Linked DNA regions of Saccharomyces cerevisiae S288C. The gene in region 2 interacts genetically with the main gene of each other region. Each region holds a gene or a part of one and is shown on either strand. Other genes may lie near its edges.

Region 1 (3,720 bases), on a different chromosome or scaffold from region 2:
CTACGTATGCAGTTGAATCAAAGCCATACCACAGAAAATGGTACAAGAGCCCACTGGATAGAATAGTGCTGGCTATCAAACCAATATTTTCTTTCCAGCTCTTGGGGGACCTCTACTGCGTTATATCGTAGTTTCCATTCAGCCTGCTTATCGCCTTAGGAAAAGGGAATGTAAGAGGCAGAAAAGTGCGGCGCAATCGTTCGGACAGCGAGCCGCTATTATAGGTAAGAATTCTTAAAGAGCTTCGCCGGATATTATTACAGTGTATTAAATTTCGCCAAGTCTTTGCCAATGGAAATAGGTGCATAATTTTATGTGCTTGGTACATATGAGTTCAATAGATATGTAGTAGTTGGATAGTAGATAGTAAGGATATATAATCATGGAAGGGTGACGCACAACAAATCACATAATGAGTTATGATTTTCACTGTTCTCATCTGTTTCCCCTACAAGGCGTGATCAATAACAAACAATTTCATTAAAAAAAAAAAAACCAAGTCACTCTAACATACGTAATAACTGTGTATACAAAAGAAAAATAATATCTGTTCGTCATCTAGTTTAATACGGCAACTAGTTTTTCACCAGAGTTCTTACCGATTTTAATGTCTTCCAGGATACGAGGAACATCGTAAAGCCCGTTCTTATAGACCCTTGCTGGAATATGGTGAATTTGCCCATCACTAATCTTTGGATTGATGAACTTGACGAATTCGGTGGCAGCTCTCCTGGCTTCTGGGTCAGCAGGGAAAGTAATGCCACCAAATGGTACTTCATGGCCGCCTATTGAATACAGTCTTGTTCTGTCAATAGTGACATTTTGCCTCCTATTCTCCTTTTTGACGTTTTCTTCTGTCAAATTAGTTAATTCGACAACGGTAGCATCCTGTTTATCGGCCGCACATTTGTACACTTGTTGAAGCGTATTTTGATTCGCGACACAGTCGACTAAATACGAGATATTGTTGTACTTGTGTTTAATTTGTTCTACCACGTCAATATCATGGTAATCAAATAGTTGATCAGCACCATATTCTTTCAACAGTTTTTCGTGTTTCCGAGAAGCCACAACAATGATCTTGGTGAAGCCATTCAATTTATTGGCTAATTGGATGAGCGACTGACCTACTGCAGTTGCACCGCCCCATAATAAGATGGGGCCGTTTCTTTGTGGGGTTGATGGCTCCCACTTCAGGTTCAAGCCCAAGTTATAGGTCAACACCAAGCCAGCTGTGGTCAGTGACACTGGGATAGTGGCTGCCCCTTCCAAAGACCTGACAGGGCCGGCAGGTAGAACATCTTCACCCAAAAATTTGAGTTCATTGGGTGATTTGTAGGCAACCACAGTTGAAATAGCAGAATATTCAGCAAAAGCACCATTGGAAGGAAACCTTACGGAAGATCCGTGAATGAACCCATAAATATAATCACCAATAGAAAAGTCTTTAGGATCGACGGCTGGGCCCAATTTGACAATTTGGCCGGCAGCGTCACATCCCAGAATAGATCCTTGAGGCCCGACCTTGTAGTCAATGTGTGCCCAATCAGTCGGGTTACCAGCAACAGCGAGTGTCTTAATCAATACGAATCCTTCTTCCAATTCAGGAATGGGAACGCCCTCTTTGACAACCGCTTTACCGTCTTCAATGACGACAGCCTTCATGGTTTCTGGAATTGCAACTTGCCTGTTTGTAGGTTATATGTAATTGTCGTTGATAATCTGTATTCAGCTTGCCATTTTATAGAATATGGTTAGAAGGATCTTAAGCTAGATAAAGAAAAAGAAAAAAATAGAAAAAAGCCTGCCCGCTTTATAAGAACTTTTCTCAATATCTGTTGAGGAACACTTAGTAATATTGTCTATCATGGTTGCTTTATTCTTGGTGATATTACTCTCTGGGATTCGATGTGTTCTCATCATCTGAAGGGTTTCCTATGTGTTGAAAGCCTATCCCACTAGACGGAGCCGCGCGCCAGCCGGGCGGATCCGAGACATCTTAGTCAGCTGAGACAAGAAAGGCACAGCTCTCGGACAGGAACTGCTGTCATATGAAAACCTAAAAATGTTTCCTGGAAATTCCATGACTGCGCAAAGTTTGATACGTTTATTGTTCTTCTCTACTACCGCACTTTCTATCTCGGAAACCTTTCAACTGAATGAACTATTGTTAATTGTATGGCGTGTGGCCTTGCTATTTCAGCAAATTTAGAGTAAAGTAAACTCCGTCGGACCAGTATAGTAACGAAACAAGCCATTGATTCTGCAGCATATTGCGACCAAAACCTGGAAATTGGTGGCTATGAGTTTTAATTTATAATTATATGAAGACAAAGCTTGGAATGCTGAGTACTTTTTCTTCAATGCTGCTCACTGCCCAGAAGCGTTCAGAACAACTCTACTGGAGCCATTCTGCTTGAAGGAGGATAAAAATGCCAAGATCAAGTCTTTTAAAGACTCTATCCCTTTTCATCGGAAAAGCACTACAAGTTTATTCTACAGAAGTGGACAAACTGTGGAACTTGATCCATACTGAGTAAGTATGGAAGACTGTTAACTTGGAGGATTTTTCTCTGCTTTCTAAAGAAGGTTCACTGCTTTACACTCACCTAGGTTCTCATGAGTATTGCTAGCTAGTGCGAGTTTGATCTATACTTCACAGACTTTTAACACCCCGTTCTTTAAGTTTTCCCTGATTATCAAGCGGATTTCCAATTCTTATTCCCCACTATCGCACCTTTCTTATCTGAATTGTATTTTTGAGTGGCCTAACTGTAATCTTTTATTTTGTTTTCTAATTATTGAAGGCGGTTTCTCGAAACATTTCACGATTTCCAAAATTCAAGAATTGAAATTATGAACATAGAAGACAAAATGCCTTTTTTATCAACTATTATGAATTCTCTAGAAAGTGGTTGCAAAGGAAATAAATATGTATTTGCTGAGAGGAAAAGTTTGGAAGAACAAAAAGTATTTCTTTGATGGAGCTGATTATCAAGCATTCTTTACGGGGAGCTTTCGAAATTTTTTATATTCAAGGACATTTATGTTGTGTGGGTTATTAAACGTGGGACTTTGGAAATACATCCAAGAAGCACAATTGAGCTCTAACGATGAACCGTTACCATAAAGATAGAGACATTTCTTTTGACTTAGAAGCTACATGGAGTACCAACTATTAATACACCTCTCCTAGAGAACATTTTTAAAATAGAATAAAATAAAGTAGCGCTCTCAACTACCCTTACACTTTTTTCCTTCATATCTGGCTAGAAAAGAGGGATTACATCTCGGAATCAAAGTTTTAATACTGCTACTACGAACTGGTTACAATTCTATTTTTATCATACACGATACTTTGAACATCAACTTCTCTCAATACCATCCGCCTTCAGCGGCTACAATTACGTAATTGCACCAAGGCATTCGCCGAGAGTTTACATATTTGCAGACCCTAACAGTATACGACTCCCAACACACGTTTAATGTTGTACGAATTCAAGAGATGGAAATATTTCTTCCGCGGAAGCCGTTTAAAGCAGACTGAATTTAGGCTTAGACAATAAGCTTCTGAACGAGGGTCCAAATCTAAAATTCGGATATTCTTTTTGACCGAAAGCGGAAACTTCACAGGCGCGCGTAAAAGGGTTTTTCAAGGCACCCCGGCACCCCTATAATTGGCATTCCCACATTCTGCGCATACGAATACACATGAGTGCC
Region 2 (3,627 bases):
ACGGATCTAACACACAAGCTATGATTGATAATATGCGCGGAAAGTCAAGAAGTAAAAAAACTGAGAACCTGCACCAATCTTTAACTGGCTGCCTTAACGACTACTCAAATGCGTTTGGAAAAGACAGGTCAAAGTTATTAGACTTATCCAACACGCTAAAGAAATATCCCATGTTGGGTCTTGCTGGGGGACTAGAAACGTTTCCCAAGATAGTCAGAAATGCTTTGAACGAATTTAAAAACGTCAAAATAGTTACTGGGAACCCGGTTACGCAAATAATGAAACGCCCTGCTAACGAAACGACAATCGGATTGAAAGCGAAATCTGGCGACCAATACGAAACATTTGACCATTTAAGACTTACGATAACACCTCCCAAAATCGCTAAATTGCTACCGAAGGATCAAAATTCATTATCCAAGTTATTAGATGAGATACAATCAAACACAATAATTTTAGTTAATTATTATTTGCCAAACAAAGATGTAATAGATGCCGATCTACAAGGCTTTGGATACTTGGTTCCCAAATCCAATAAGAATCCAGGGAAATTGCTTGGTGTAATTTTCGATTCTGTTATCGAAAGGAATTTCAAACCACTTTTTGACAAACTCTCCACAAACCCAAACGCCCTCAACAAATATACAAAAGTGACTGCGATGATAGGAGGTTGTATGCTCAATGAACACGGTGTTCCTGTAGTGCCATCCAGGGAGGTAACCATTAATGCAGTCAAAGATGCGCTGAACAACCACCTCGGCATCAGTAACAAGGATCTGGAAGCTGGTCAGTGGGAATTCACTATCGCCGATAGATGTCTGCCAAGATTTCATGTAGGTTATGACGCATGGCAAGAAAGAGCTGAAAGGAAGTTGCAAGAATCTTACGGCCAAACAGTTTCTGTGGGGGGAATGGGATTTTCTAGAAGTCCCGGTGTCCCTGACGTTATTGTAGACGGCTTTAACGACGCCTTACAGCTAAGCAAATAAGTACGTATATATATGGTTAGCTTTACGCAAACTACTTCTTTTGACAATTGAGGCAGTTATCAGCTAATAAGAAAAAGTAGTTAGTATCAAAAGACACAATTTATTTATATTAACCAAATTTTTCAGAACATCCTCCGGACCGTCAGTCTTTAACGCCGAGCCGCCGATGATGGGTTGGAGTCAAAACGAGGGAACTCAATATTAATTGCGGAGTTGAGCGATGATGGGTTGGAACTATATAAAGCATCGGAAACGCATGGCTAAGGGAAGTGGAAGAATGCAGGTTACAAAAAACGGATAAGAACAAACTTGTTTCGAAATATGGCCGCTCCAGATTATGCACTTACCGATTTAATTGAATCGGATCCTCGTTTCGAAAGTTTGAAGACAAGATTAGCCGGTTACACCAAAGGCTCTGATGAATATATTGAAGAGCTATACTCTCAATTACCACTGACCAGCTATCCCAGGTACAAAACATTTTTAAAGAAACAGGCGGTTGCCATTTCGAATCCGGATAATGAAGCTGGTTTTAGCTCGATTTATAGGAGTTCTCTTTCTTCTGAAAATCTAGTGAGCTGTGTGGATAAAAACTTAAGAACTGCATACGATCACTTCATGTTTTCTGCAAGGAGATGGCCTCAACGTGACTGTTTAGGTTCAAGGCCAATTGATAAAGCCACAGGCACCTGGGAGGAAACATTCCGTTTCGAGTCGTACTCCACGGTATCTAAAAGATGTCATAATATCGGAAGTGGTATATTGTCTTTGGTAAACACGAAAAGGAAACGTCCTTTGGAAGCCAATGATTTTGTTGTTGCTATCTTATCACACAACAACCCTGAATGGATCCTAACAGATTTGGCCTGTCAGGCCTATTCTCTAACTAACACGGCTTTGTACGAAACATTAGGTCCAAACACCTCCGAGTACATATTGAATTTAACCGAGGCCCCCATTCTGATTTTTGCAAAATCAAATATGTATCATGTATTGAAGATGGTGCCTGATATGAAATTTGTTAATACTTTGGTTTGTATGGATGAATTAACTCATGACGAGCTCCGTATGCTAAATGAATCGTTGCTACCCGTTAAGTGCAACTCTCTCAATGAAAAAATCACATTTTTTTCATTGGAGCAGGTAGAACAAGTTGGTTGCTTTAACAAAATTCCTGCAATTCCACCTACCCCAGATTCCTTGTATACTATTTCGTTTACTTCTGGTACTACAGGTTTACCTAAAGGTGTGGAAATGTCTCACAGAAACATTGCGTCTGGGATAGCATTTGCTTTTTCTACCTTCAGAATACCGCCAGATAAAAGAAACCAACAGTTATATGATATGTGTTTTTTGCCATTGGCTCATATTTTTGAAAGAATGGTTATTGCGTATGATCTAGCCATCGGGTTTGGAATAGGCTTCTTACATAAACCAGACCCAACTGTATTGGTAGAGGATTTGAAGATTTTGAAACCTTACGCGGTTGCCCTGGTTCCTAGAATATTAACACGGTTTGAAGCCGGTATAAAAAACGCTTTGGATAAATCGACTGTCCAGAGGAACGTAGCAAATACTATATTGGATTCTAAATCGGCCAGATTTACCGCAAGAGGTGGTCCAGATAAATCGATTATGAATTTTCTAGTTTATCATCGCGTATTGATTGATAAAATCAGAGACTCTTTAGGTTTGTCCAATAACTCGTTTATAATTACCGGATCAGCTCCCATATCTAAAGATACCTTACTATTTTTAAGAAGTGCCTTGGATATTGGTATAAGACAGGGCTACGGCTTAACTGAAACTTTTGCTGGTGTCTGTTTAAGCGAACCGTTTGAAAAAGATGTCGGATCTTGTGGTGCCATAGGTATTTCTGCAGAATGTAGATTGAAGTCTGTTCCAGAAATGGGTTACCATGCCGACAAGGATTTAAAAGGTGAACTGCAAATTCGTGGCCCACAGGTTTTTGAAAGATATTTTAAAAATCCGAATGAAACTTCAAAAGCCGTTGACCAAGATGGTTGGTTTTCCACGGGAGATGTTGCATTTATCGATGGAAAAGGTCGCATCAGCGTCATTGATCGAGTCAAGAACTTTTTCAAGCTAGCACATGGTGAATATATTGCTCCAGAGAAAATCGAAAATATTTATTTATCATCATGCCCCTATATCACGCAAATATTTGTCTTTGGAGATCCTTTAAAGACATTTTTAGTTGGCATCGTTGGTGTTGATGTTGATGCAGCGCAACCGATTTTAGCTGCAAAGCACCCAGAGGTGAAAACGTGGACTAAGGAAGTGCTAGTAGAAAACTTAAATCGTAATAAAAAGCTAAGGAAGGAATTTTTAAACAAAATTAATAAATGCACCGATGGGCTACAAGGATTCGAAAAATTGCATAACATCAAAGTCGGACTTGAGCCTTTAACTCTCGAGGATGATGTTGTGACGCCAACTTTTAAAATAAAGCGTGCCAAAGCATCAAAATTCTTCAAAGATACATTAGACCAACTATACGCCGAAGGTTCACTAGTCAAGACAGAAAAGCTTTAGGTACTTATGACGATTTGGAACACATTCAAACTAGAAAAAACTTTGATGTAGGATATCCCTATGCACATCCATACGGTATACA

The links. Genes that interact genetically often act in the same process or in processes that back each other up.
Region 1: mutations in BUD25 (region 2) and YCR102C together harm fitness more than expected from each alone (negative genetic interaction), as found in Saccharomyces cerevisiae (one large-scale study listed by BioGRID).

What each region holds. Positions count from the first base shown.
Region 1 is NC_001135.5:303,803-307,522, forward strand, and holds YCR102C (uncharacterized protein), read right to left. Parts: upstream 1,666-3,720; coding exon 559-1,665; downstream 1-558.
Region 2 is NC_001137.3:183,231-186,857, forward strand, and holds BUD25 (Bud25p), read right to left. Parts: upstream 1,471-3,627; coding exon 1,448-1,470; coding exon of another isoform or gene 1,311-1,447; intron 990-1,310; coding exon of another isoform or gene 940-989; coding exon 501-939; downstream 1-500. Other genes in the region: HEM14 (oxygen-dependent protoporphyrinogen oxidase), read left to right, coding at 1-989; medium-chain fatty acid-CoA ligase FAA2, read left to right, coding at 1,311-3,545. UniProt on the Saccharomyces cerevisiae protein: Involved in bud site selection. Required for resistance to the DNA-damaging agent methyl methanesulfonate (MMS).